Linked DNA regions of Rattus norvegicus. The protein of the gene in region 2 interacts with the protein of the main gene of each other region in a biochemical or structural test. Links are inferred from orthologs where the notes say so. Each region holds a gene or a part of one and is shown on either strand. Other genes may lie near its edges.

Region 1 (8,063 bases), on a different chromosome or scaffold from region 2:
TAAGTATCAACACAAATACACACGGAGGCCAGAAAAAATGTGTTAAATGTCTAGTATATGGCAATAAAGACTGATATAGTTGAATTGATGAATATAAGTTCTGCCTAAAGACATAACATAGATTAAATGTCTTTGAAAGTGAAGTTAAGAGTTAGACTTGATGGCCTATGTGACAACAAATACCTCTAATTCTAGCATTTGGGACAGGGAAGCAAGAGGATCAGGAATTCAAGGTCATCCTCAGCTACATATTTAATTTGAAGCCAGCCTGGATTACAAGAGACCCTGTCTTAACACACATACACACACACACACAGAAAAAGTTCTTAACCCTTTCTGCTCATGTTTCTTGTCATTTGACTAACTTTTCCTGGAGAAAAAGCAAATTTATATGGACTTAATTTTGTTTTGGTGACTGAAAATTCATCATCACTCTAGTGGACTTTAAGAGATACCTTTTTAGGGGTTGGGGATTTAGCTCAGTGGTAGAGCGCTTGCCTAGGAAGCGCAAGGCCCTGGGTTCGGTCCCCAGCTCCGAAAAAAAAAGAACCAAAAAAAAAAAAAAAAGAGATACCTTTTTAAAAGGAAAAGATACACACACTCAAATTCTTTAGATCACATATATCATAAAAAGTGACTACAATTATCCCACTCAGTAATTTTGAACATGATAAGAAATATATCCCATAATTTTTGTATTTAAGTTATATGCCTTTAATTCCAGCACTCAGGAGGCAGAGGCAGGTAGATCTATGAGTTCCAGGCCAGCCAAGGCTGCAAAGAAACCCTGTCTCAAAAAACAAATTTTTCTTTGCATCAGATTTCCTCTTCTTAACTAGGATCTGGTTCAGAAACAACTACCAAGAAATAAAGAAAAGTTGTGTGAGGGCTTTTAATTTGGAAACACATTTGTGATAGCAAATCAGCTGTTATTTATTTCTACCAAATCTCTTCCCTAATTATAAATTCTCCGAAAGTAATTAGAAGTAATGAAAAAAAGGCCAGGATTGGCTTTTGCTAGTGAGAGCTCTAAACAGCTGAGGAAGCAATCCATGTATACTAGACTGTTTTACAGAATCAGAGACAGATACTGTCATTTAGCTTAACTCCTTTCAGCAATGCCATGTTAGAGATAGATACACACCATCAAAATCAACACCAGTAATGTCAAAGGCAACAATACAGGAAGATAATGGAGTCTACAAGTACCTTTTCAAATGATACTACTTTAAATATCAGGAGCACTCTTGAAATCTTAAGTAGCCAGACTTTAGCAAAATGATGTGCTATTAATAAGCTGTGCCTAAGATAAAACAGTCTGAGCAAAATGGGGGTGTGTGTGAAAGTAAAGCCCATTATTGCTGAAGTGGTTTACACCAGCGGTTCTCAACCTGTGGGTTGTGACCCCTTGGGGGTGTGCTGAATGACCCTTTCACATGGGGTCACCTAAGACCATTGGAAAACACATTTATTTATATTACAATCCATAACAGTAGCAAAATTGCAGTTCTGAAGTAGTAACAAAAATAATTTTATGGTTGGGGGTCACCACAATATAAGGTAATGTATTAAAAGGATGCAGCATCAGGAAGGTTGAGAAGCACTGAACTACATATAAAACTTATCTATAAAGACTTAGCGGGGCTGGGGATTTAGCTCAGTGGTAGAGCGCTTAACTAGGAAGCTCAAGGCCCTGGGTTCGGTCCCCAGCTCCGAAAAAAAAAGAACCAAAAAAAAAAAAAAAAAAAAGACTTGGCACAACCTTTGATTCTAGAATTTTCAAGACACAGGCAGATGGATCTCTTGAGTAGAGTGCCAGGATAGCCAAGGCTACACAAAGAAACCTTGTCTCAAAAAACAAAACTATATATATCTCGATATAGTAGAGAAAAGTTAAGTCTAATTAGCTCTTTCACTGACTAGCTCTTACATTAAATTCACCAAAGTTGTGTGCCCTAGAATCACTCAGTCCTCTGTCATTTCTTTTTATTGCGGCAGGTAACATTTACCTAACCAGTGAGATAGAGTAAAAGCTAACAGTATTCTAGTAACTATCAATGGTTTCCAAAGACTATCTTAAGTATTTGAGACAAATTCCAGACGAGGCTGATTTTGACTTACCTCACAGCGTTTGGTTACTAGCAGTAAGTAAAAGCAGTCTGAGTCAGCAACATATATAAGAAGTAGTTTTAGGGGGTTGGGGGATTTAGCTCAGTGGTAGAGCGCTTGCCTAGGAAGCGCAAGGCCCTGGGTTCGGTCCCCAGCTCCGAAAAAAAGAACCAAAAAAAAAAGTAGTTTTAGAAATGTTTCTGTTATCACCTTCAAACTGAAGGTGAATGTGTCTATGTATCTGTGCACATTCGTATGTTACTAAAATACCCCCAATTCCAGAGAATTTCATGAACTCAGAAAGTTCTAATCATCCTTTAAGTGAATTAAACCTTTAAAAGGTTCAACCCCCCCCCACACACACACACACAATTTGGTTTATGCATATAAAACTGTATCACTGACCATTTTGATTCTGCTATTGTAGTCATTCAAGACATTACCAAATAGGTAATGGGACTGGAGTAAGGCTTTACATAGACTTGTTATAGTACCTATTTCAACTGCACAGGAATCTGTAATTATGTCAAATTAGAAGGGGGCTTTTTCTTTGTTGCTTTATTTTTGAGACAAGGATTCACTATGTAACTCTGGCTGGCCTGAAATTACAGTAAGCCAGACTAGTCTCAAACTCATAGAGAGCTGCCTGCCTCTGCCTGCTCTGCCTTCCAAGCGCAAAACTTAATGGCATAAGACTCCACGGCAGCATTCAATATATCAAATTTTGAAGAGACCTTAACGTGTGTTTTTAAAAGTTAAGCCTAACTCGTTTGTTATGCACCTCTTGATACAAACTCAACATTCAAGTAGGCTGGACACTGGGTACTACTGTGAGACAAATCTCAATTCTGAAGTTGCTTTGAGATTACCAATTAGAAGATCTAAACGAAAGCACACACTGTAAATGAATTTAAAATCAAGGAACAACATTATACTGAAATTAAGTATGTAAGAACATCTTTAAAGAAGTGAGGCTGATGTGCCTTCTGAATCATATTGTTGAAGCCAGGGAATTGTATGTCAGGGAATCTTGCAAGCATTCATTCAGCCCTCAACAGAGCACACACTAAGTACTGCTGAACACACTTCTTGCCCTCGGGATGGAACGCATAGTGAACCAGATGGTCTCTGGTGGACCGGTTTTATATTGAATTATCTCCGTGGGGGCTAAAGTTAGCAGAAACACTGCTCGAACCTCCAAAATCCTGAATACCAGCACTGTGGCACTTCTTTTAAAAAGTGACTACTTTCACCCAGGATATATTAAACGGAGGGGGAAAAAAACCCAGAAAAGTGCAGTTTTAGTTAAGCATAGGACCATCCAGAACAACCTGCCACACACTGAATTTCACTTGAGCCTTTGGTGGGCAGAAGAGGCAGGGCAAAGCTGCTTCTTTAAGCTGGGGATGCTTGCTGATGCCAGGGACCCCCTTCTCCCTGGTGAGTAGGCTCCTGAAAGGTGGGCTAAGAAACTCTCTTACCATCCTCAAATGGGGTCCCTTCGGGCCTGCAACACAGGAAAACAAAAACAAGAACCGGTTAGTACCAGCCAAGGGGGTCCACACCTTCCCGCAGCCTCTGAAGAGGCGGCTCTGTCAAGGTCTCCCATCCCTGCCCTCCGTCCAGCACAGCTGTCCGGTGTTAGGGAAGCCACCCCTGTCCCCTCGGGGCTCTGGAGGCAGCGCAGGCCGCCACCGCTCCCCACCCCGCCCCCCTAGAACCCCAAACGGTTCCCCTGGCAGCGAGAACGGAGCTAATCGAGGCAGAGGCTCCGGGGAGGCGCCTAGGCCCAAACAACCCCAACTATCTTCCCCTTTCCCCCCGCGGCTCATCGAGGGGCCGGCCCCGGTCCCCTGAGTCCCCGGCGAGGGCCGGACCGCAGACTCACCCAAAAATGACCGCGTTCCAAACCATTATGTTGTTCTCCGACGGGGCTCCACTCACTCCAGCCGGAGGATCCTCTTGTAACCTTCAGAAACACACAGCGGCTCCCCTCAGCCCCGGGACTCGCGGCCGGCCCCCCTCACCACCACACCCGGAGCCGTTCCGTTTCGGGATCCGCCCTGTGCCCCGGGCAAGCAGCCCCCTCAAGCGCCTTTCCCTAACCGACGCCGGTTACCTCTTGAAGTCCCTCATGAGGCGGCGCCGGGCCGGGGTCGACATGGCTTTAGCAGGGTCAGAGGTAGGGCATATACCAGGGTCCGCGGTCCCTGAGGAAGCGGAGGAAGCCGAAGCCGAGGGAGCACCGAGAGGAACAGCACTACCTCTCCGAAGCCGAGGGTCGGTCTGGCGCCGGCTAAGCACCACCCCTGAGTAGACGGGGGCCGAACCAACCTGAGGAGAACGCGCGGGTGGGGTGGGGGGGAACGCCTTACGCCGGGCGGACTGTACCAAGTCGGCTACGGGGCGGGGGAGGACCAAAGTTGTTCTGTCAGTCACGCCCCGCCTGAGAGCCCCAATCCAGGACCGTGGGGCGGTGGCGGTCAAGTTCGAGGGGAAAGGCTAAGCGGGCAGCAAAGGCAGCCTTCAACTGTCGGGAATTTAAAAGGGAAACGCATGGGCTCCACTTGCGGATTTGAAGAGGAACCCCTGCGAAGTTTTCTTTTTATAGTTACTTACTTTCTTTGGGGGGGGGGGGGTCGTGGGGGAGGAAATCTTTCTCTTTCCTTTCTTTTTTTCCTCTTTTGAAACAAGGTATCCTGTAGGCCAGGGAAGCTCTAACTCACTGTGTGGTTGAGCATGACTTTAACTCCTGAGTCTCCTGCTTTCACCTCCCAAATGCTGGGATTACAAGAGTGCACCACCATACCAATCTTTTAATTACTTGTTGTTTTGTTGTTGGCTCCCTGCTTCTTCCACCTTCATTGATTGATTGATTGATTGATTGTACGGTTGGTCTCTTGTAGTATCTAATGTAATACAGGCTAACTCAAACTCACTGTGAATCCCAGAGGCTGGGCCTTGAGGTCACCTCAGCCTGCCAGGAATATGCCTTAACCTTTCTTTGGTTTTGACAAGGCATGATTTATTAAACTGCCAACTACGTCTAGGATCGGGGAAAGAGGAGCGGAGAGAAGATTAGTTGAAACAGGAGAGTGGGGGAAAGAGTTGGCACAGGCAAACAAGTTCTCAAAAGGCAAGGATGTTAGGGTCATGGTCCTGCAGACACGAGAGGCTGGGGTAACTACTCAGAATCATGGGGAAAGTAATAAATAAATAAATAAATAAATAAATAAATGGCTCTTGAGTGTGAAAATGGACTTTGGGTCCATCTTCTTTGAGATGAGGGTGCACAATTCAATCCCAACTTTTAAGTCTAGGGCTGAATAAAATGACATTGGGGCAGTGGTGGAAATGGGAGCTTCAGGCAGGGAAAATAGACATTTTACAAATGCCATGGGCACTCACAACTTGTCTCTGGAACCACATTTCCCCTTGGTAATTGATCAAGCCAAGCAGCTAGTTTAGAGGAGTCCAAGGTATGAGCTTATCCAGCTGAAGAGTATTGGAAGGACAGGAGATGGCAGGGAAAGGTAGGCGCTCGGGGGAAAGCTGCAAGTCACGGGCAGGCAAGCCTCACAGGGAGTATAGGCACCTGCAAAAGCAAGAACAGTTTGAAAGAAGCATTTTCAAAGATCAACCCAAAAATCACTTAGTAGGCAGACAAGAAGATACTTATTTAAGAATGCAGGAAATGATGAGAAAGGCAGGTTTGAGTTAAATCCGGGAGAGTTTTGAATGTCAAGCAAATGGACTCCTTGGAAGGTAGTAGAGCCAGGAAGCGACACCATTAGAGCTGGGTTAATCAGAGTTTGTCCCGAGAGAGCAAGAGAGTACCTGAAGGGCTCTTGTGGTACTGTTCAGGAGAAACATTGTACCAGGCAATCAAACCTCCCAGAGGCCAAGCCCATCCTTTACCATGGGACCTACTACAGCTTCAAATCTCAACAGAGATTTTCTCTCACATTAAATCCTGCTCACGTTTTGAAATCTCCCCCCACACACACAGTATGAGAAAATGTTTTAAAAATTGAGACTGAGGGGCTGGAGAGATGGCTCAGCGGTTAAGAGCACTGACTGCTCTTGCAGAGGTCCTGAGTTCAATTCCCAGCAACCACATGGTGGCTCACAACCATCTGTAATGGGATCCGATGCCCTCTTCTCTTCTGGTGTGTCTGAAGACAGTGACAGTGTACTCACATACATAAAATGAATAAATCCTTTTTGAAAATGAAAAAAAAAATTGAGACTGAGGGCTGGAGAGATGGCTCAATGGTCAAGAGCACTGACTGCTCTTCCAGAGGTCCTGAGTTCAAATCCCAGCAACCACATGGTGACTCACAACCATCTGTAATGGGATCAGATGCCCTCTTCTGGTGTGTCTGAAGACAGCTACAGTGTACTTCTATATAATAAATAAATAAACCTTAAAAAAAAAAGAAGTAGAGATTTGAAGTAGCCATTAACAGAAGTAGGCATAAAGGGTGAAGGACACATTCAGGAGAGGAAATTTTGAATGGGGCTTCCTGAGCTCCTGGGAGTGATGAAACAGCCATGTGAAGATGTCCAGAAATCATCAGGTGCACAGGACTAGAAAGCACATACCAACAGGAGTGATTTTACTAGGTGCTTGATGGTAGGTACCTCCCTAGCTAACAATTGTTATCCCCGATTAACCCCAACACATATATCCATTAAAGCAAGTTTCCCTAACAGTGTCATATTATGGCTGTTGGTGGGATAAGGTTACCAAACCAAATTTCAAAAATCCTTTTCCCCTCATTTAGAAACTTGAAGTCTTCTATTTCACACATGAAAATAGCAAAAGCAAGGCCTGCAAAAAGAGCATTTGTTCTCTTTCACTGCTTAACTGATCACCACAAACCGCAGGTCAAGTCCAGTTCCTTATGCTTGTAGGACTCGGGGCCCTATTTCATTATTAAATGCCAAACTGGGACCACTCCCAGCTCCCAGAGGCCACCTCCATTCTTTGCTATGTGACCTTCTCTCTTGCTAGCTCCTTCACATACTTTGAACATTTTTTCTATAAGAAGAATGCAGTGTACTTCTCTAACTTGTCAGATTACATCAGACCCAACCTTGATAATCTCTTTATCTTAAAAATCCTCTAAGTTCAGGTAAGTTACTTTTTCAGTGGACTGGAATATCCTCAGGATTTGCCTAGCATGTCTAAGGCTCCATGCCCCATCCCCAGTACCTAAATAAATAAATAATCAAACAAATAAAATCTACTCAATTTCTTCACTATAAAATCTAGATTAGGGGCTGGCGAGATGGCTCAGACGTTAAGAGCATTGACTGCTCTTCCAGAGGTCCTGAGTTCAAATCCCAGCAACCACATAGTGGCTCACAACCATCTGTTATAAGATCTGATGCCGTCTTCTGTTATGTCTGAAGACAGCTGCAGTGTACTTATATAAAATAAATAACTAAATATTCTTTTTAAATCTAGATTAAGCATTGGCTTAATATCTAGACAAGGATATGTGGGTGCACCAAGGACCAAAAGTCTGTAAAGCTGGCATCATTCCAACCCTGCCTTTCCCAGCAAGAGTGGGATCTATATTAAGTGTGTGGGAATCCCTCAGAGAAATTGCACCACCAAAACTCTATCTAGACGGTCTAGTGTGTCAAGACAAGCTTCCTGAAACAAGCCTATTTCAGTTTTGCTGTAAAAGAGACAAAACTCCAGTGAACAAGTGCATGAAGCACTTAAACCATATTCTGTGGAAGTGGATAGGCTGCCTTGTTTACTCAAGGAGTGTGGGATAATGTCACAGGTGAGGCAGGTACAAGATAGAAGGAGGCCTGTCATTGGACAAGAAGGAAGGATGGGCAGGAGAAAAGTTTAAAAGAAGTGGAGGAGATTGGAATGGAAAGGAAGAGACAGAAGGGAGAGGGAGAGAAGTAGTGGCAGGACAATATGGCAGGTT
Region 2 (7,404 bases):
TCCTAAATAGAAGGGAGGGTACTGAAAGAAATGTTCCTTCTCAAAGGATGAAAAATCAAATTGCTTGAGTGAGTTAAATCAAACACACAGGCTCAAAATCAGTAGCAGGATTCCATTCCAGGTACTACTGAGTCTTCTGAGTTTAAGTTAGCATTAACAAAGCTCAAGAACCAAATTTTATTTCAAAGGAGTTTACAACAGACAGAACACAGGGTAGGACAAGAATGACTCTACCTGCTTGTTCATTGGCCGCAAGGGTCTGCTCAAACTCTATCCTCAACATCTCATACTCCTTGCGGACCTGGGCCAAGGTATCCTCCAGCTGAATCACTTCAGTTCTCAGCTTCTTATGCAGACTAACCTCATCTCGCTGCAGATAAAGAACCAATAAAACATTCATATCGCTTGAGTCTACCTCTAAATTCAATCTGTAACAGTCTAAAAAGATAAAAACACTGCTGAGAAAAGAAGGCTTATTCTGAAAATTTCCACTACACTACCTCTACTTAAAGAACACCAGACGTGATATAGAAACATGACTTCATAACCCGGTGGAACAATGAAGAAATAAAGAAAATGGCCTCTAGCTCTGAGATTACAATTCAGTTGGAGAACCATAAACTGTCCAGGTGTAAACATAAACTAGCATCAAGTTCTTTAGCCAACATACATGAAAACTCCAGCTACTTTAAACACCACCGTAAGGAGTAAAGAAAATGGGGCTGGAGAGATGGCTCAGCGGTTCAGAGCACTGACTGCTCTCCCAGAGGTCCTGAGTTCAACCTCATGGTGGCTCACAACCATCTGTAAGGATCTGATGCCCTCTTCTGGTGTGTCTGAAGAGAGCAACAGTGTACTCACATACATTAAATAAACAAACAAACAAATAAGTCTTTTTTAAAAAGGAGTATAGAAAACATAAAAGTGAACATAAATACCAAAATAAAAGCTATACCTTCAAATAATTTGCCTACTAGATGTGCATTGAATGTCACAATGGCAGTATCTGCCTGATGTCCCCACACATATGAGTCATAGGCACAGCTTCACGAAGGCTGTCACTGCTGGAGCACATCAACAAACTTTCCATCTTTCCACCCACTTCCTTATCAGGAAGACACCACAGACAAATCAGATGCTCTGTCTCTCCATCACCACATCTTCAGACAACTACCACTGAATCATGCAGCACCTTAATAGCAGCATTCTCCCATAAGATCCATGAGGGCAAGAATTCTGTTGTCTTACACTTATGCCCACTGGATATTAACTGAGGAATGGGATATTAACTATGCATGAAAGTAGAGGCACAAAATCCATTAGTTAGGCAATCACATAGAGAAGACAATGCAGGAGAGGGAATGGCTGGCTTTGTGGGTAAGACTGCTGGCTCCCATACCCACCAGTGAAACACAGAAAAGTTCAATATTACCTCAATGAGTTCAACCTGGCGCTGGTGAGTTCCCCGGGTGCCATGAAGCAGGGTCCGAGCTTCATCCAAGTGAGCTTTCAACTGTAGACTCTCATTGTACAGGACAGAGAACTGTGACTGCATGCAGCGATATTCTGGGGTTTCCTTAACCACTTCCTCCACTGCGCTCCGCAACTCCACCTTAGGAAGGCCGGACAAAAGGCAAGCCAGAGTCAGAGCAAAGCATGTATGCCCCACAAGTCAGTCGTGGGAAAATAACTCACCAATGTGACACTCACTTGGAACCATTACTCAGAAAAATGATGAAACAGAGACTACCACTCCTGGGTAGAACTCAGTCCCTGAGTAAACCAGGCCACCCACTATTTTGACATGTGTTTAACATTGTTTCAACTCTAATCCAAAGAAGAGCTGAGTAAAACTGACCTGACCAGGACATTTGCTCTAAATCACAGATGAAGACCCCAGTAACTGTTATTCACTGTCACAGAGAAAATAATTACGACTGGTAGCAAAAATGGTCATGTTTTTCCAAAGCAACCATTTGATTTAATTTTCCAAGAATGTTTATGAAGTTTTTCCTTTTAGTGCAAATATCTTCATTATTCCTTAATCTAGAAATAAATTATAAATGATAGTCTATGAATCAAAGAAAGATGAGGAAGACTTCTAGAAGATTCTTCTTTGTTCCCCTAAGATTCTGCAAAGGACAATTCTAATAGGCAAAAATGAATACCAGTCCAGGATGCCTACAGACTTAGCACTGAGGCTGCAGGCCACACCCATCAGGCCTGAGCAGCTGTCCCCTCCCCAACTCCCCACTGCCCTCAGCTGACAAAATACCCTCCAGTTCCATTCTGCCTTACCTAAACTCTGGTAAGGCTCCAACACTGCCTCCCCCACACCCATTCTCCACAGCTATCCACCCACTCCCCAGTGCTATCCCTGCTCACTCTGCACCACCAGTTCAGCTTGGCCTTGTGGGAAGGAGTAAAAGCTCAAATGCAGGAGCATCAGCCTCTCCAACACTTCAGTTTCCTTCTGGGCCACAGCAACCATTTCCCTTAGGCCCCAGACTTGGCTACTTCAGCTGAACTCCTCCAACTCCCCCCCCTCCTCGGTCAACTTGTTCCAGCTGTTTCAGTACTGCTCCCCTCCTCCTGAAGTCACGCTCTCCAGTGTTGGCGACCAAGGGAGCTACAGTATAATTTAGTCTTATCTCCCACCTCCCTCTGTCAAGGCCCTTGCTACTTTCCCAACTCATTAACCCTTCCTGTCCTGACACTGTCTACTGCTTAAACTCAATTCTACAAGAATAATCTTCTTTAATGACAAATTTACTACATTTAGGTTTATTTTTATGCTAAAAGATCTCCAATTAAATCTTCAACTCAGACTTTAAAGGTCAAACTTAACAGGGATAAAGCTGCAAGTTCTAATCTTATAAAAAGCTGCAATAACTTTATTAAAAAGTATTGAAGAGAATTAAAACATACAATTATCAGTTACCTCATAATTTTTTTAACTTTTAAAGCTATACTTACAATCACGATTAATTACAATAGGCTTTATTCAGTCTCCTGTATATGTTCTCAAGGTTAAAATCAGGTATACTTAATAAGTACTGAATATGGCATTTAAAACGTTCAACAGAAACTTCTCCCAATAAACAGAGACTCCAGTGCTAACAAAACAATAACAACAACAACAACAACAACAACAAACTGTAAGGGCTCTCCTAAAAAAGATAGAACCCTGCACCTGGACTGTGGCGATGGTAAGCACTAGGAAAACCTGCCGCCAGGATACTGTATGAACTGTGGACACTTTTGGATTGACTACTGTATTCTGCCTTGTCAAAGAAAGGTCAATTTTCCCAAGTTCGTTCTCTACAGAAAAACTCCTCAGACCTGAGCCTAACAACCAAAGGCCTGCTACTTATGCCACAACTAAGAATTAAACGCTCTTCTTTCTGACATCTGAAGTGAATGTTCAGGCTTTTGTCCTTTCCTCAGCCTCCATCTACACACTCACCCTAGAGAATTCCCAAACTCCTCCTATTCTCCACCCACTTCTTTAGACCTTCTCCTTCCTCCCCGCCTCAAACATTTCCTTAAACTTAGAATGTTCGCCTTTCCGACCCAGAACTTCGACACTCCTGTCAAAGAGTTCTTGAAATCCTCCTCCTACTCTTCCTCTCACACACAAGAGGGCCCTTTGGCTACTTCTGCCTACATTTTTATATAGATGGAGCCCCTTCCTGTCAAGACAACTACATCAGGCTGACCCCTCCGTTATCAACATTCATCCTCACCCTCTGGTTCCTATTCACTCAAGATCACCAGCTCCCCACAAATCCCATTCCTCTTCTCACACTCAAACTATTCCTCTGCCCAAATGACTGCCAGATATCCATCACCAACTGACTGACTAAACTCATTAACTGTCCAGACATCCTCAGATATCAACACTGAACAAATCCCACACTCCCAATTATAAAACATAACTAAACCAAAGACATCTCTCCAATACACACAGACACAGACAAATTCATTCATTCATTCATTCTCTCTCTCTCCCTCTCCCTCTCCTCCTCCCTCCCTCCCTCCCTCCCTCCCTCCCTCCACTGCGTTAAGGTCAAGGTCATCATCCAACAAACTCTCCTGACTTCACTGATCATCTCCTTCGATGCCTCCCACGTTGTTCCAACCTCTCTTCAGTGTCTTCCATTAGTCGCATGCCCTCTCACCACTGACACCCCAGCTAGTCACCAAAGCTCATTCCCTTATTTGGCCACATCTTCCTCCTAAGGCTGACTGCCATGGCCCAGCTATCAAAATACTGAAGTCCAGAAATCAAAAGCCCACTTTGGCTCACCTAACTAACATGCGCAGTTAAAATTAAAACCTCATCTTAACACGGGGTCTCCCTGTTTACCTTTGTAAATTGTCATTTTTCTACGTCCCAAGATCTCCTCTCTATCCAGAGGCAGTTCTTTGCTCTCTGGAACAAATACCACTATTCCTTCTTCCTTGTTCTCTTCCCCCTCTCCCTTGCCCTCTATCTCCTGTCTTTGTCCCTTACTCTTTGCCCTTTGTCCCTCTGAGGCAAATAAATCTCCTTTCTGTTGAGAACTCGGTCTCCAGCCAGTATGTTTCCTTTTGAGTCTATTCTCTGCTTCTATGAGATCCACTTTCTTAGCATCTGTATGTTTCAAGCACTATTTGTCTATCTCTCCCTGCCTTATTTCACTTAGTATAATATCCCTCAGGTATATCAATGCTGCCGCAAATGACTAACTTTCCTTTTTCAAAGCTGAATAATATCCACTCTATCTACACAGTGTTGTTATACACTGATCTTTGGTTAAATTTACTATTTTTACTGCTATATAAAATGAGACCGCTTCCATTGAGTCTGTTGGTGATTTTACATTCTTCAACCTTATCGAACTCGTTTCTAGTTCTCTCAGGGACCCCTACATGTAGGATCATGGCACCTGCAAACAGAGACAACTTTACTCCTCCCTCTCCAATCATTCTAATCTGGAGCCCTTTTCTTACCTATGCCCATTTCTTCTGACTGAGCTTCTGTATGATACTGACAACAAAGGCAAGAGTAAACATCCTAAATCTTGCAACTCTTTACCAGGCATGTTAGCAGTAGGCAGGTCACAAATGGCCTTTGCTGTGTTAAGGTACAATTTTCTATACCTAACTTGTTGACCTTTATCATGGAAGAGGCTAAATTTGGCCAAATTTTTCTTGTTCTTCATAAAGTATGCAGGTTCACAGGCTGATGAACAAATCATTTGTCCTTCAGAGCTCTGTCTCCTACCTTCAACTTTTCATTCTGTGTAGTGACCTCTTCAAAGTCTTGACGAAGTTTCTCTAGCTCACAATGTCGGTTCTGAGCCAACTCTTTGTTCTCCTCAAGCTCAGCATTCATTTCCTCAAACTAGAAAGGATCAGGAAAGCATCAGATGAGAATGAAGGTCATCCCACTTCATGCTTCCCACATTCTGTTCTACTCTTGCAAATGCCACTGTGTTACCTGGGAACCAATGCAGACCCGAGGCACAAGGCCTGTCCCCAGTCAAACACCATGTCCCAGGTGGGGCAGACGTACCTTCCGGGCATTGATGGTGATTGTGCCTCCATAGAGACTGCTCCCTGCTCCGTACACTTTATAGCCTTTTGAGTTCACCTACAGAGAAGACAATGACTCTTTAGTGAGAGGCTGGAAGACTTCAGTTGTAAGACCAGAGTCATTCAAAGGATGTTTCTTCCTCAAATAACAGCATCTGGCTGATCCTTTCTGAGAAGGAAGCTTTTATTTGTAGTGGATGTTAGTAACTACAAGCATACAACCAGTTAAACAGCTGAAGTACTAGGAACAAGTGACAACCAAGTGTTCAGCCAAAAATGGGAGAACATGAGCACGCACGCACGCATGCACACACACACGCACGCACTCACGCGTGTGAGAAGACTGTTAAGGGCTAGAAGGTGGGAGCATTAACAACAGTGTCTCCTGGATATGGCACAGTGGCTGTGCTTATGAACTCACAGCAGCTATGGCTGCCTGCCCAAGATCAAATTAATCAACAGACTAGCATGGAAAGGGGAAGAGTTTACCTCCCCCTCACTGAAGAGCCATCGGCAGTTGACAGCTGCTAAGAGGAGGAAAGTCACTTTTATCTGTGGTGTGGTCTTTGGTATGTTGCCCACTCTAAGCATATAGAAGCCCAAATGGTAGTCAGTGAATTATTTAAAAAAAAAAAAAAAAAAAGACATTAAGTTGAGGGGAACACATGGAGACATATGGAGAAGGGTTCTGGAAGAACTGCAGAGGATCAATAGGATTAAGATACATGGTATACATTTATGTAAGTCTCAAAGACAGAAAGAATATGCTAGTGGGCGTGGCGGAGAGGCTGGAGAATGATAGCTAAGCAGGTAAAAACACTTGCTGCTCTTGCAGGAGCCCAGCTGGAAGCTCCCTGCACGCATGCTTAGCTACCCGACCCTATGTAACTGTAGCTCCAGGGGAGCTAATGCCCTCTTCTGGCCACATTCTGCACACACAATGGCATATATTCCCTCCCTCATACACACATACACATTAATTAAAACTGCATTTGTAAGTCATTTTAAAAGCCTATATAAATAGCACTGACCCGCTCTAGGACTTCAGCCAAATGCCGGTTGAGCCGCTGTTCTCTTTTTCGAATTTTGTCAATATCCCACTGCAGGTCATCAATCATGGACTCCAAGACGGACACTCGTGACTCTGCTGTCTCTACTTTACCCTGCAGCTTACAGAACTACATCCCGAAGACAAGCATTCAGAAATATAACAAAAGAATAGAGTCAAGAGTTCCAACTTCCATAAAATTAGTCCTTACTCATATACAATTAGAGAAAAAAATTCAACAGCCAAATTTAAAAATAAAAGTTCTTAGAGTGCTATAATAATGAAAACAAGCAATTGCTAAGAACTTTCACAAGGACAATACCAGTTAAGATTTAATAATCTTTCTATCTTTGAAAAGTACCATTTCCCTAGATAGACCACGATCCTTCAGATAATGAAGATTTTCTTTTAGAAAGAAAACATCCTTTATCAAATACTTTAGAAAGTAATAATTTAAAACAGAAATATCTCTTACCACCAACTTTCTCTAGCTACATATCCAGAAATGATAATCTTTATAGAACAAGAAAAAACTTCTTCTGTATTTAGGCTGAGTCTTGAGCAGTTTACAATCAGGTTGTGTGCATGTGTGCATATGTGCGTACACACACCATAGCTTGTATATGGACATGAACAGAGAACTTCAGGCATCAGTCCTTGACTTCCATCTTGTTTGAGCCAGAATTTTAAGTCAGGCCCTCAAACTTCCAAGTATGTCCAGTCCTTGCCTCTTATCTCGTCTTAGGGAGTGGAGTTCTGGGATTACAAATCAATAC
Region 3 (7,404 bases), on a different chromosome or scaffold from region 2:
AAACAAACAACAAAAAACCCAAAATGTTGAGTTCTGAAAATTATAAATTAAAAGATAAACCTAAACTTCTAATTTTAGACCTAAGCCTAACTAATAACACTCTGAAAATCTCGAAAAGAATTTAGAGTTAAGAGTCTTACTTGAGCCAAAGGAAAGACTATTTTACAACTACAGTTCAACATGCAGCGTGTAGCAGTAACAGCATACCTTTTCTCTCTGTTTTCTGTGCAGGGAGAGAAGCTGTGGGTGTAGGCAGTTTTGATAAAGTAGATGCTCCATTAGCATCAAATGATTTCTTTGGCTGGTGATCAGACTGAAGCGTAAATGGACTAGAAGGAACAGTGCTTGGGGTAGCGGTTGGATGAACCACTGGTTTGATGGGGTGCTGTACTGGCGTAGAGCTACTGTGAGTCTCTGCTCTTGGCAGTCTGTAGTCTTTGTCATTGTGTCTGCTTGTTTGAGACAAAATATTCTGTGGGAGCAAACTACTGGCATCGCTGGAATGCTTGTCTTCCACTGTAGTTCACAGTTCCCAAAAGAGATGTTGGAATGACAGAAGGGGGAAGAAAAACAAATGCTGTTAGAATCCTACGACATGAACATCAGCTAGTTGAACACTACACCTGAACTTATTTTCCTTTCCTTAAATTGCGAGTCCAATTAGTGGCTGCAACTTTAACACTGGCATATAAACAGCAATACAGCAACTATAAACATTAATCTATTCTCAGATTCTAGTCTAACATTTTACTAAAAAAAAAAAAAAAATTCTAAAAATATAAAGGCAAATATTTTCTTGATTCTTTTAACATATCGATCACAGGGTCAAATAATTATCCAGTAGTCCAATTACAAAGGACCACTGGCTTCATTATTTCTAAATTTTTGAGTATCTAGGCAGCTAGCTAATGTAGGCTCTAAGGGTTTACTGTAGGTCTTTCAATGATTCAATGACTTATCATATACTGAATTGTGCATCACAAACAAAACCATTAAAATATTTATATAATGCTGGCAAAAGTAGCATATTCATATGTCACATGTTATTCTGAAGAGAGAAATCCAAGATATGCATGCAGGCATAATCAGAAAACAAAACAAAACAAACAAAAAAACTATGCTTATTGCCAGAATAAATGGGGGGAAAAAAAAAAAAAACCAGAAGAATTTAAGCTCAGAAAGGAGGTATAGGAAATAGCTAAAACCCTGAAGTTTAAATACTGGTAACTTTGCTTCTGTAAAGTAATACAAAAGGAGGAAATTCTTTAAACAATTATGTGAACAAAGGTCATTAGTTTAAAAAAACCTACTAATATTCCAAAGTAATATCCAAGAAAAGAAAAACCATAAGATTAAAAGATCAAAAGGATGTGCCCTTTGATCATGACAGTTTCAAAGACTATGAATATGTATGTCTTTCACAATCCAAACTCCTCTGACCCTAAGATAAAGAAGGTATAAGGAGCATACTTCTGCATACTTCTATGAGTCAGTTTTCACCTTGCCACTACTATACAACAACAACAGAACCTTTAAAACAGTGGTTTACCACCAAAAAGCCCTTAACTGTATCAAAAGAAACTCTCCAAGTATCTAATATAACTTGGTATGTTATCATCAAACCAATAGCAAATGCAGACTCAACTGTGACAGTGGTATCCAAAATCCTGTATAGATAAATACATATAGCTCTACCTTATATGGACTATTAGAATCTCACTTTAGTCTCCTGATACAAAGAGGATGCTATTCTACCTGAAACAACAGGAATAACACCATGCCAAACAACACAACGCCACTTAATTACCTATTTTTATTTCATTAACCTAGAAAATTCTCCTTTAGTTGTATATGGCTGAAGCAAAACATGTAAAGGTCAAAATGTTCAGAAGAAGACATAAAATAATACTTCAAAGTATTAAAGTATTACTTCAAAGTATATTTTATTATTAAAAAAATAAGTCAAAAGGATAGTTGATTAGGAACTGGGGAAGATGGAGCTGCAACTGATTCCTACCATCACTAGACAGAGGAAATTTACAGAAATGTATATCTGTACCACCACTCCCCACTCATTTCAATTTCAAAGCCATGGTGGGAGGTGACTAGCTAATTTAGCAGGTATAATAACAATTTAAACACAGGACAGTCTCTCCAGCAAAGAATTGCCTGATCCAAAATGTTACTAGTGCTATAAGAAATCCCAGTGGAGGATTCTCTGAGCTTAGAAGATGCATATTATTAATTCTAGAAAAATAATCAAGATGCAGCTTTAACACCAAAAGAAAAATTATCCATACATTTCTGAAATCCAGAATGTGGTAACATTTCTACCATCTTTAAGAAACTTCTCACTCCAACCATCATTCAACCCAAATGCCAATAAACAAAATAGTTTTTGACAATGTCAAATAATTAAATGGGATACTGATTTTATTACTACAGCACTTTATATGACTTAGTGGAGAAATTTGACAGAAAAACTAAAATCTTTCTCAACCATTACATAAAACTTTAAAAACTAAGATAAAAAAATACAACTATTACTTCAACCCCAAATCTACTGACTCATCATTTGTACACACAGGAGCTTAGGTTCATTAAGGGACAGATATGAATCACAGAATGTAAAATAGCTGAAAACCCAGCCCAGTATTCAGATAGCAGACAATTTATGGATGGTATAATGAACCTCAATAGTGCAGACAATAGTTTAACAGATGCAGAATCAAAATAAAAGCAGATCCCAGAGACACTACTGAACAAGCAGGGTAAGCAATAATCTCATTTGTGGTTCTAAGCAGGTCTGATTTCTATACACATGTACACAGTAAACAAAGCATGCACATCAAAACACTCCTGGATCATAGGGTTACAAGTTTAACACTAACTTTTATATACATCCGCCTGTTTGCCTCCCTAATACAGTAAAAAGGAGTGCGTGACCATTTTAGGCTTTTCTAACTCTAAATTATAAACATTAGACTTTGAATATATGACAACATATAAAAACATTCAAAAATCTCCCCATCTCTTATTCAAAATTAGGTCTCTTAGTGTTTACCTTTATAAACTCTTAACCTTAGAGAAGAATGAATTTATTTAAAAGGTAGTCAGTATAGAAAAACTTAAGTTAGAAAACAAATTTATACAACCACAAATCCAGCTATGGACCCATGGACTCATTATCTGTACATATGTGAATTCAGTTAAGGAGCAGATGTAAATCAGACTGTGAAATTAATGAAAGCGACCCAATATTCCTAGAAACCAAGTTTCCTCTTTGGGAACTACTAGCTTAAGCCTAATGGCAAACGCCTGGTCCAATTCAGCACTCATTCTAGAGTCTAGTCCACAAGCAAAACAGCTTCCTTGTTCTTCATTTTAGAAGATCTTTTCATGCACACGTCACTAGTCCCTGCCCACCAACTGCTCTAGCAACAATAAACAATATACTATTTAATTACTTCAAAAATAAAAACCTTAGCTTCTTTTTGTTTGGTCAAAGTCAGCTAGTTACCTGAGACAAGAGGCAACATAGGATTAAATATAATGTTCTGTAAAATTCCCTAACTTAATACTTGAAATCAGTCACTAAAAATCAAGAATAATCGTACTCATATTTTGAAGATTTAATGTTGCTATGTTAAAAGTTCACACTAAATACATTTGCCATTAAAGAATCAATACCCCTTATTAAGAATCAATTACTCACATCAATGGATAAATCTCAATAAAACATTATGGCATAACCTGTTTGTCATACAGATCAAGGGTCCCTTAAACAAGGGATGAAAAATAGTTTATAAAAGATTTAAATGTTTCTTCAAAGCCTCAGTATCCAGCTTATACAGATCTCTAAACACAGTGGAATTAACATGTAAGTACAGATAATGATGTTTTAGATCTCAGCAATAGTATTGTAAACCAGAGACACGTTGAAAACATACATATACGCTACTGGAGGAAGGGATGGAGGAGTATAGCAATGATGTGAACTCAGTACAGTCAGGCAAAAAAAAAAAAAAAAAAAAAAAAAAATCAAGAAATTTATTTTGTACTACTAAAGAATTATTACCTGAAGTGATTTTTCTAGTATTCCCAGGAAACAAAAAACAGACGAGTTGTTTGCGTATACTCTCACATCATTGTAATGTCTAACAACATCCATTTTAGGGACCATCTACATACTGATTTCTTCTCCTTGATAACCAAAATGACAGTATTGCACAGTGGGATACAGAAAACAGACCAAGATTTTCCTCACTAAGGGAGAAAAGGCTGTCAGCTATTCATAAGAACCTACAGTCAAAACCTCCAAGCATGTTAATAAATGTGTGTGGTGGGGCTCAATCATTTACTACTTAAGACTATAAGCTAATCCTCTTTTTAAATATGGAAATCTTGTTCTTTACCAAGTCTGTACTACAGGCAACATGAGTAATGAAAACCACACAGACCCCTATTCTACCTGCACCTGTTTCCCTTTCCAGGAAACAGAGCTGAAAAGCCAGTCAGCATAATAGAAATCATGTATATTTTCATGCCAATTTACACATGCGGATGGAACTTATGAGCTGTTAAATTAAAACAATAGTAACAAAGCAAACATACTGTTTCAAAGCGAAAAGAAGGGGGAGGGGAGGGGGGAGGGAGGGAGGGAGGGAGGGAGGGAGGAAGGAAGGAAGGAAGGAAGGAAGGAAGGAAGGAAGGAAGGAAGGAAGGAAGGAAGGAAACCAACCACTTACTTCCACTGGTGAACCCACTAGTGGCTGCTGCTTGCATCACCTCTCTTCTGTAATCCCTGTCTTTTGGGAAACTATTAACTGCCAACTTATTTGCTTCTTTTTGTCTCTGTTCTCTAGAAGTAAAAGAATAAACATCACTTTATGAATAAAAATGACACTAAGTACTTAAGTCTCTATACCAACTTTCTGGCCAAATGCGCCACAAAACTGTACACTGGATAAAAGGGAACATGGTTTACGTCTGAAGCTGGTCTGGAAGATGGCATACAGCACTAAGAATGGTTCTCACCGAAAGGACTGTCAGCTAACATACTACTAGCCTACTGAGTGTTCCCGGGCCTCCACATGGGTGGCTCTTATGTCCAAGAAACACTTTTATAAGGAGGGAAGACACAGAAATATGACCATAACTAAAACTGAAAAATAAAGGGAGTTTAGTGTACAAAACCAATAGCTAGTGTTTAATGACACAGAATGGTGACCTGCAGAATGAATTAGGGAGTATTACTACGTTAAAAGCAAGTACCTTTCAAGCCACTCTTTTGGTTTCTCCCACTGTGAAACTTCTGTGCGACAATTGTAGTAGTATTTTTTTCCAGATGAGCTAATGTGCTCAGACCAATCATCTGCAGAATCATAAGGCTTAAAAACACATTTTAAAAATTAGTCTGCCACTTAAGCATTTGATGTGAAATATTAAAAATTCTAATAATTTTCATACCAAACATACAAATATATATATGAACAGAATCTATTAAAACCTTTATGCATTATAGTATAGTGTATATAGACTATTAGGCATATGAAGAACATGAAATTATTAACATCTTGAATTCAGAAAGAAAAAAATGGAAAACACAAGGTAGCAGTATAATACTGTAACTAACATTGTTCTTTTAAACTTCTCAGTTGGTCTTACACAGATATTTGATAGTCCTGTAAAATCATGATGAAATCAGGAAAACCTGAAGGGAGGTTGCATGGAACTGGTGTCTAAGACAAAAAGGGCAGATTAAAAGTAAGGACCTGTTTGAACAACCCTATAGAATCTAGAAGCTTTTAAATATTTGTTCAGAAGGGGTTAACATTAGCCAAGAAGTAATTTGTGATTGAGAGACTGATGAGAGAAACAGACTAAGATTCAAGGCTAATAATAAAAGAACACTTGGAGAGCTGTGTATGTAGCAGAAGACGGCCTTGTTAGGCACCAAAGGGAGAAGTCCTTGGTCCTGCCAAGGCTGAAATACCCCACCCACCCCCCAGTGTAAGGGAATGTCAGGGCAGGGAGGCAGGAAGGGGAGGGTGGTTGTTGGGTGGGGAAAAGAGGACAACATTTGAAATGTAAATAAAAAATATCCAATTTAAAACAAAACAAAACAAAACAAAAAAAACAGAACATTGGAACAGAACAGGCAGATACTGGGATCTAAACAACCAGTGTGCTTCAAGGAATATTCTGCAAATTATCATCTGTCTCAAGATTTTTTATTTTGTTTTGCTTTCCCTAAAGCAATAGTCTTTATATTTAAGCTAGCTCCCAAATTACCTACCATGTAATCCTCACTGGCTATACAGTAAAGCACTCTACCCACCACACAACATGCATAATCACGGAATATACCGGCCTATAATACTACTATCAAATTTCAGCTTGTACAAATGGGATATCTTATTTTATAAAAATGCAAGACACTTTCGCAATCGGAAAACAGTAAACTATCATCTCAGCCCATTTCTAGTAAGAGTGTAATTTAAAATACCAATGTGCAACGAATGACACTTGACAAGTTTATGGACTTGAAAAAAAAAGAGTATGTAAAATTGACAACTCAAGTCCTACACACACACACACACACACACACACACACACACACACACACCACATCTTCTAAGTTATATAGCATGTAGTCACAGACAACCAGTTTTCAGGTATTATCGGAAATACTTGAGATAAATTTTCACATGACTAAAATACTATCATAAGAAAATGGGCATTCACCCAGAAGCCACACAGGACGAAATGACCACACACACACACACACACACACACACACACACACACACACACACACACACACACACACACACACACACGGTTGGAGACATTAAATCCTTTAATACTGCAACTAAACCACAGATTTTAATATAGTTTTTTCTCTAGAAAGATGTTTTATTAAATGCATATTAACACATGATGGGCTTAATTGGTATTCTGAATGATCTAAGTTTTTAAAATATATAATAAACATCAAGCTTACAGAAACTGTCCAAGGAAAAGTGCACAATTATGTGTGACTTTAAAAGGGCCCTCGAACGGGAAAGGCAGCTCTCAAAGGCTTTGAAGCTGGTCTGGTCTACACAGTAAGTTCCATGCCAGCCGAGGTTACAGCTAAGTGACAGTCACAACCTTCCCTATAGAAGGAAGTTCTACCAAGACACCTATCTAGTCCCACCTTAAATTCAAATCTGAACAGATCTCTGACATGTGGCTGTTTCTTCTTCAAAAATATCTCTACTTTCTTAGAGTTGTTCACTAACAGCTCATTAATACACATGTCCTTTCTTATTTTTTTTTAATTTTTTTTAACTGCACAGTTTTTTATTTACATTTCAAATGTTATCCCTCTTCCTGGTTTCCTGTCCATGAGCCTCCATC
Region 4 (8,106 bases), on a different chromosome or scaffold from region 2:
CAGGGATGCCTGGCAGTGGAGTGCTTGCCTAGAACACACTAAACTCTGGATTTGATCCCTAGCAGGAGGGAAAAGAAGAAATGAAAATTTTTATCATAAGACCCTTATCAATGCAGACAATAAAGCAAGGAAATACAATCACCCTCTTGGTATTAACTGAAGAGCAACCTCTATTAGGCCACCCAACTATAGCACAGACCCACTTAGACCTACAGCTGTAGAGGCAGCCCATGTCACAGAGGAAACTGGTGAGAGGTGACCAAGCTGATCTGCAAAAACAGATCCTCATAAACTCTTAATTTTTCACTTGCTTGCTTAGTATGCAAAGAGTTTACTAAGAGTAGAGCCTGTCTTCAAATAGTGTTAGAGCCTCTTACCAAAAAGCACCCTTTTAATATGTAGATAATAAGAATGACTTACCATCTTCAAAGGGTGTCCCTTCTGGTCTGAAAACAAAAAGATCTCTGATTAAAACAAGTTTTTCCTTCTTTGTCTTCAGGGAGAGAAGGGTAAGTAAGCTGGGGAACCAGGAAGGACAGTGCTCACCCTGCTGCCTGAGAGCTGCGTAAACATCACCAGTCAGACTGCCAGACAGCCTTGGCTTAAACTCAGGCAGCACAAAGGCTCTCAATGATCAAGTTCTTTTTAAAAGGAAACTTGTCTATGATTTTCTTGAAAAAATAATATAGTACAGCCCAATGCACAGCCAACTGTGGTGGCAAATGCCTTTATTCCCAGCACTGGGAAGGAGGAGGCAGGTAGCTATCTTGAGTTTGAGGCCAGCCTGGGCTACAAGTGAGTTCCATGACTGCTAGAGGCTACACAGAGAAATCCTGTTTTCAAACCCAAAACCAACTAACAAACGAAAACCCAAGAGTGTGCAAGTGGGCATGCACCACACACTCGTGTATTCCCAGATACTCAGGAGGGAGTCAACGGTTGAGACTACCTAAGACGCACAGTATAAGGCCAGCCTGACTTGGCAAGACCACCTCAAACTACAATTTTAAAAAGGATGGTGCAACACATATACACAGAATAGAAAGGGAGGGGGTACCACAGCCCAGGCTGCCTGACCATGCAGCAATCCTCCTTCCTCAGACTCCTGAGTGCTAGGATTTATTAAGTATGAGTCAGTATACCTACCTATTTTGATTTTGAGATAAGATCTCATAAATAGCCCAGGTTGGCTTCTAAATTGTGATCCTTTTGTCTCAGCCTTCCAGAGGCTATGATTACAGATGATTGAAACCAGGACTTCAAGAATGTTAGGCAAGCACTTCCACAACTGAGCTAGCTACATTCCTAGTCCCCTACTACTTACAAATGTAGACTCCTATAAGACAGCTAACTGATTAAGAGTACTTGAGAAAATCCTCTTACAGGAGTTTGGTTCCCAGCACCCATGGCAGGCAGCTTACAACTTAAGGAGATTGGACACTGGCCTCTGGCTGGCTTCCATGGGCACCTGCTCTCTTGTACATGGATCCTTCAAACCCTGTTACCAATTACTGGGTTGACTGTAAAATGATACTATACCATAACTAGCTGTAGTGGAAAACTCCCATAATCCCATACCTACACAAACATACATAATCAAAATAAGTTTTAAATGAAAAAGGATGTACAGAGCTAGCAAGAATAGTTTAGCAGGAAGAACTACTCACCATACTATTTCTTGAACACATACGTGATGGAGGGAGAGAAATGACTACAGTTGTCATCTTACCTCTATATTGAGTGTTGTGGGTTATGGACACCTACTCACACAGTCAGTCAGTCAGCGAGTGTGTGCGCACACACACACAAACAAAAAATTAGAAAGGTATTAAGTATGGTGGCCCAAGCCTGTGTTCCCAGCACTGAGGATGTTGAGGCAAGAGGATCCTAAGTTTGAGAACAATCTGAAAAATGCATGGAGACCTTTTTTTGTTGTTTTTGTAAAACAGGGCCTCAGTAAGCAGCCTGGACCTTAACCTCCAAGTGCTGGATCAAAGGGGCCAAACCTTTGTCAAGAGTCCATCTCAATAAAATTTCACAGGTGCGAAGAGTGAAGCCCAGTGATGGAGCACTTGCCTACAATGTGTTAAGATGCTTGGATTCAACCCCAGCATCACCCAAAGTAAGATGCTTGGATTCAACCCCAGCATCACCCAAAGTAAAACTACCTTCCTTGTTCAATGGCTTCTCAGGGGGCTGTGCATATAGGATTTTTAGCTGAAATTCTTATCACAGCGAAGTTTTCAGTTCCTTTGGTTCCAAGTGTTTTTACGGCTCCAACAGTATGGGCATAAACTGCAAGTGCACAGCACATTTTATGAGTTGATTTCTCTCTTCTCCTTTATCACCCTACTTAATTTCAAGTATTTACTTCTTATTGTTGGGGATCAAGCCAGGGCCATACGCATGGCAGGCAAGCATTCTACCACTCAGCTTCACTCAATGCCTTTACACCCTAGATCATTTACCTGGAGTGACCGTAAAACCATACCATAGCTAGGTACAGTATCAAACTCCCACAATCCCAGCTACTCCTGAGGGCCTAAAGCAAGAGGATCACTGCAGCCCAGTTCAAAATCACCCCGATCAACACTGTAACACCTTGTCTCAAGGGAAAGAAACCAAATTAAACTTAACAGCAAGGAGCAGACCAATTTTATATAAATGTCCCAGACTCAATAAAATGTTTCAGGAGCTGGGTATACAGCTTAGTGATAGGAGCACAATAAGCACAGGAGGCCTATGGTTCTCAAAAAAGTGCCCCCTACCCCAACAAGTGAGCTTCGGATCCACCTCAGCCTCTTTCCTTGGTGCTTATATACTTACTTTTCCTAAGCAGTCGCTATTTCAACTCACCCAAATATAACTGCGTTCCACTGCATGATGTTGTTTTCAGATGGTGCACCACTGACCCCCACAGGTGGGTCCTCTTGCAATCTAGAAATCCAGAGTAGTCATTTTCAGAGTTGAACATAAAGGTCAGTGAGGTCAAATTCTACTGAACCTATTCTGAGAGACTGACTAGACTGACTTATTGTTGGAGCTGAAATGAGCTATGACTTAAAAGAATCAACCAGGTTAATATACTTACTAATACTACCAGTGATCTCTAAGCCCAAAGGACTAGGTGGTCATCCTTCTTCACACAGCAAGATTTAAGATATGATCTCTTGAAGAACTCTTGTTTCCAGACTGCCCTCTTGACCCATTACAAGTTTACAATTTTAGCAATGAAAAATATTTTAGAGAATCTGCAACTACCAGGTGGTAGTGGTGTGCATGCCTTTAGACCCAGCACTTTGGAGGCAGCCTGGTCTACAGAATGAATTCCAAAACAGTCAGGGCTACACAGAAAAACCCTGTCTCAAAAAACCAAAACCAAACACCAAAAACCAAAACCAAACCACACAAAAGCCTACAGTTTTTCTACCTTCATCATGCAAGGATCTCCAGTCCTAACACAAAATCGTAGGAAATCTCCATACACTAAATAACTGAAAAGCATATTCAGTTTAACTAGAAAGCGAACCACACTTTATGGTCTGTGCTTCAGACAGTGGCTTTCTCAAGTAGCCAGAAGCTCCAGCTAGCTTTCCAGCAGTCTCTCTTTTAAAGACACTGCTCTCAGGCCAACTCTACCTTAGGCCTTCATACAAAGTTTCATACAGCACTTTCAACAGACGTCATCATCAATTTCATGTAACCTCAAGATCCTTGGAAAACCACCAAAGGCACCTTGTACTCAATCGGGTACAGAAATTGCAAAAATGAACAAGAGATAATAATGGATGATGTATTAGCCATAATGGCAAGGTTTATTTGCATGCTACAGAGCCAATCAAATATAGTGACTTCAAGCCTTTTGCACCAACAAGGGCATCTCATCTGTCAGATCATAAAAAAAAAAAAAAAAAAGCCTTCCACCATACAAAGTATGTCATGATTTTTAAGTGGACACTTAGCGATCAGTCCACATTAAAAAACAAACAAACAAACAAACAAACAAAAAACCTCAAGCAGATTATGCCACTAACAGGGCTGAGAGGAACGAACTTACTGCCTGATTCCTCAATTTTAAGTGGCTAAAATCAGCAACGAATTAAATGAAGCTGTCCAAGGCCCAAGACCTCCAAATGCCCCAGACAGGGCTTTATAAAGGCAAAGTCGAGCAGTTGCTTCCTGAGAGGCAAATCTAAGTTTTTATAGTACAGATCTGTCTCAATCACAGCGGGTCTGCCCAGAAAGAAAACTTAGAGGAGTATCTTGTCGCTGGATTTCAAGTTACGGTTGCTGCACTTGTACGTTTCCAAGGAGAGGTAAACAACTGGAAGAGGAAGGAGAGGTCATTTTCTTCCTTCAAGCCCCTTATTTCCTATAAACTCCTATTTTCCAAAAGGAGGCCCAGGTGGAGTATCAGATTAGCTCCAGTGTGACGGAAGGCATTTCCCAGGCCGGGGAGGCTATAGATAGGCCTTTATTCGGCAGCCAGATCTTAGTTCCAGAAGGCACTGGCAGCGGAGTGGCTAGCTCCAGGTCCAGGTTTCCCGAGCCAGTTCTCAAGGTCCTTCCAGGTGGGCGGGGGCAGATCGGGTTTCGGGGGATGGGCTAACCACCTCCGGACCTCGCGCAGCAGACCCCACCCTCACCACTGCAGAAAGGGAAAGAGATTTGGGACAGTATTCACCCCAACCCCGCTACAAATAGGAGACCACGGGGCCCTGTAACAAAGCTGGACTGGTCCTCCAGGCGAGGCCAGAACCTCAGGAAAAGCTCCCTAGCACCACCTGCGGAGGGGACACCGCAGGGTGCAGAGGCGGGAGGTGAAGCGTCTGCATTTGGCCTAGGTGGGCCTCTGGGACACCTAGGCCCAGCGATGGCTACCTTCCTACTTTTGGGGGGGGGGGGAGGGCAGGTGGCTATAATACCGAACATCTTTACTCAAACAGAGGGAGGTATGAAGCGAGGGAGTAAGAGTCGCCGGTGAGCCGGGGCTGCCGTGGGTCCCGCAGGCCCACTGCCCCCCTCCTCAGGGTCACCGGGGGAGGATATCCCGGATCCCCGCCCTACAGTCCATAGCTTCGGGAAGAGGCCGTCATATTGGGCTAAGACGAGGGCCCTTACCGCTTGAAATCCCGCATGAGCCTCCTACGGGCCGGGGTCGACATGCTCCGCAGCTGCCCCGCGGTCAGTCTGAAAGAAAAGAGTCCCGTTCGGCCCCCCCACCCCCCGGCGCAGCGGCCGAATCACTGTGGGTCGCCGCCGCCACCGAGACTGCACAAACAACCCTGCAATGACGTCTCCCTCCGCCGCCTCCAGATCCCTCCGCCCTCCGCCAGTACCACCGCTGGGAGGAGGGGAGAGGGGGCGGGGCGAGCGGGCGCGCGCGCGACCCTGGAGGCGCAGGAGGCCGTCTTCGGGGCTTCTTGGCTGTGAGGAACTATGGAAGGTCCTCTCCGTGCCCAGGCTGGACACGGGCCGGCCCGACCGCGCCGGAGCCCACACGCTACCTTGCCTCGCTCCCCCCGTCGCTAGTTTCAAGTTCGGCCGGACGGGGAGAGAGGTGCATCCGGAGCCTGAGATTTCGGGGAGAGGAGGTGGGATGACGTCAGGTCACGTGACCGCTAGCGGCGTTGTCAACAATCCACCCCTGAGGGGGAGGGAGCGAAGTATCTAGAACCACGTGTGCCTGTGACGCCATCAGAACAAGTCACGTGACGGCCTAGCCTGGCTCTTGGTTTCAGGTCTCACAAAGCAGGTCCTTGAGTTTAAGGAGTTGACACCTCTAGTCATACATTATTCTTTTGGTCCCAAGTACTGGGACTTTGCATAAGGAGACATTGTGGAAGAAGCCACTTGGCGTTCTGAGTCTTTAAAACGGAACAAAAAAATCTGGACTTAATTCTGTTTCAAGTGGCTTAGCAACTCTGGCACGTGGGACAGGTACTGAAAGTGTGGCAAAGCCTTGTAATGAACAGCTTTGAATACTATGGTCCGTGCAAATCAGATGGGATTAAGGGCATTTGGATCAATTATAGCCTGTATGGGATTTCCATACTTAAAGTCTATACAGAAATGAGAGTGGAATAGATTGTCCAAGCCTTAAAGACTCCATCTATGGAGTCTTAGAATTGGAATCTGTGATTTTGCCTGCGGTGGGGAACAATTGTATTTCTCAAGAAACGAGTGGGTGTGATTTTTAGGGCATATCAATGGGCTGCTGGTTGTCAAAGAAACCTACCAAAATGATTCAGATCGGGGGAGAGATCATGCAGACATGGGTGGGAGTTATATCTCGAGTCTGAGGTAACTTAGTACAAGCTTTGTACAATAGCAAAGAGGGGCCAAACGGACCGGAAGTGCTCTGTGTGTGTGTGTGTGTGGGGTGATTCTCAGCAGGTTCAGTAGCCTTCACACACACACACACACACACACACACACACACACACACACACCGCCCCGCAAGCTCCTGGAATTCCCAATCTCAGCTTCTAGCACTGATGTTAGTTCTAGGGACCCGAACGGTGGAGTAGATGCGGAATTCTTTAGCTCTAGAAGGGAAAAGAGCATGAGAATCTACTGCTCCACTCCTTCCTATATACATAGTTCCTTGAAACCAGGAGGGGTTAGCCTTTTCCACTATCCTTATCCCCCCATTCTTCAAACAATTCTCATGATTTAAAATGACCTTGAGAACCCAGCGTCTTGGTGCATCCTGCTAATCCCATCATTCCGAAAGTGGAAAGGATCAGGAGTGTAAGGCTAGCCTCAGTGAATCGAGATGTTAACCACTCTGGGCAGCCTGAGAGTCTCATCCCTCCCCGCCAAAAAGTAACCTTGAGGATTGTCAGGTATGTCTGTGTATTGCTAGCCGCTGCTGTGTCCTCACAATGTGACTAAGCTAAAAGTTAAGTATTCTTACCTTTACGTTTCTTCTTTTTGAGGTATTCAGTAGAACTCCAGGGCCTTACGTAGCCCTGTAAAATTTTACTGAGGATGCAGTGCACAGGCTCAACTCCAGCACTAGGTAGGCGGAGACTGGAGGCCTAGAGGCCTGCACATTCCACAGCACCTAGAGCACGGAGAGACTTTGTCTTGGGGGAAGAAAGGTCTCTTTAAATCCCCTAGGATGGACTTCAACTCCTCTTTGAGTAGCTGGGATAGGCAACAAGTGCCTGGCTTTTTTCTTCCCGCCCAGCCATACCAATCTTAATCTTCCTCATGGTCAAGAAAGAAGACAAATGTGTGTGGGAATATATAAAGTAAAATGGTTAAGAAACTTTAAAAAAAAACTCATTGTGTCGATTATCTAGCAATTTATTACTTTTAAAAATGGACCAGATAGGTTTTTATCCAAAATGAAATGTTTTGATACATTGAATGTGCTTCCCAAAAGTATTAGAAGTCAGAATGTTAACAAATTCACACAATTTCCTGGCCAGGCGGCTTGCTGGAAGCCTACAACTGCAGTCTTAGAACTATAATTTCACTTGTCAAAACAGGGTATGTGTAGCTCAGGCTGGTCTGGAACTTGCTATGTAGACCAATCTGGCCTCAATCTCACATAGCTCTGTCTCTCTTCTGAGCACTGGGATTGTGAATTAATTTGTGATGGCAAGGACTCACTAATTCATGCTTTCCTCCTTGCATATATTTAGTTCATAACAAATACTGAATAAACATACAGTATTGTAAGACTTAACTATGACATTCTTATTTATAGAGAAATGAAGAAAAATCCAAACCAAGTACCCATCCTCCTTATTCTCAAGCTCCAAAGCCCAGCTCTAGCAGTTAGTGGCAAAATTTTAAATACTTCTCAACTGGTTTTTTTTTTTTTTTTTTTGGTTCTTTTTTTCGGAACTGGGGACCGAACCCAGGGCCTTGCGCTTCCTAGGCAAGCGCTCTACCACTGAGCTAAATCCCCAACCCCCCCCCCTTTTTTTTTAAGCAAACTAGTTTCTTTTTTTTTTTTTAAAGCTTTATTCATTTATTATATATAAGTACACTGTAGTTGTCTTCAGATACACCAGAAGAGGGCATCGGATCTCTTTACAGATGGTTGTGAGCCACCATGTGGTTGCTGGGAATTGAACTCAGGACCTCTGG

The links.
Region 1: the proteins of Rnf20 (region 2) and Ube2a form a complex in vitro, tested with the Homo sapiens proteins (4 studies listed by BioGRID, with this or other methods). The link is inferred for Rattus norvegicus from reciprocal best matches to the Homo sapiens genes RNF20 and UBE2A.
Region 3: the proteins of Rnf20 (region 2) and Wac form a complex in vitro, tested with the Homo sapiens proteins (2 studies listed by BioGRID). The link is inferred for Rattus norvegicus from reciprocal best matches to the Homo sapiens genes RNF20 and WAC.
Region 4: the proteins of Rnf20 (region 2) and Ube2b form a complex in vitro, tested with the Homo sapiens proteins (4 studies listed by BioGRID, with this or other methods). The link is inferred for Rattus norvegicus from reciprocal best matches to the Homo sapiens genes RNF20 and UBE2B.

The regions. Positions count from the first base shown.
Region 1 is NC_086039.1:120,976,431-120,984,493, reverse strand, and holds the start of Ube2a (ubiquitin-conjugating enzyme E2 A), read right to left. Parts: upstream 4,411-8,063; 5' UTR 4,273-4,410; coding exon 4,229-4,272; intron 4,079-4,228; coding exon 3,998-4,078; intron 3,617-3,997; coding exon 3,591-3,616; intron 1-3,590. UniProt on the Homo sapiens protein: E2 ubiquitin-conjugating enzyme that accepts ubiquitin from the ubiquitin-activating enzyme E1 and transfers it to a E3 ubiquitin-protein ligase. In vitro catalyzes 'Lys-11', as well as 'Lys-48'-linked polyubiquitination.
Region 2 is NC_086023.1:68,783,105-68,790,508, reverse strand, and holds part of Rnf20 (E3 ubiquitin-protein ligase BRE1A), read right to left. Parts: intron 6,759-7,404; coding exon 6,612-6,758; intron 5,639-6,611; coding exon 5,561-5,638; intron 5,390-5,560; coding exon 5,270-5,389; intron 1,613-5,269; coding exon 1,433-1,612; intron 371-1,432; coding exon 235-370; intron 1-234. UniProt on the Homo sapiens protein: Component of the RNF20/40 E3 ubiquitin-protein ligase complex that mediates monoubiquitination of 'Lys-120' of histone H2B (H2BK120ub1).
Region 3 is NC_086035.1:60,654,053-60,661,456, reverse strand, and holds part of Wac (WW domain-containing adapter protein with coiled-coil), read right to left. Parts: intron 5,391-7,404; coding exon 5,275-5,390; intron 4,862-5,274; coding exon 4,749-4,861; intron 517-4,748; coding exon 208-516; intron 1-207.
Region 4 is NC_086028.1:36,758,678-36,766,783, forward strand, and holds the start of Ube2b (ubiquitin-conjugating enzyme E2 B), read right to left. Parts: upstream 5,267-8,106; 5' UTR 5,191-5,266; coding exon of another isoform or gene 5,166-5,190; coding exon 5,122-5,165; exon of another isoform or gene 2,938-5,121; coding exon 2,857-2,937; exon of another isoform or gene 447-2,856; coding exon 421-446; exon of another isoform or gene 1-420. UniProt on the Homo sapiens protein: E2 ubiquitin-conjugating enzyme that accepts ubiquitin from the ubiquitin-activating enzyme E1 and transfers it to a E3 ubiquitin-protein ligase. In vitro catalyzes 'Lys-11'-, as well as 'Lys-48'- and 'Lys-63'-linked polyubiquitination.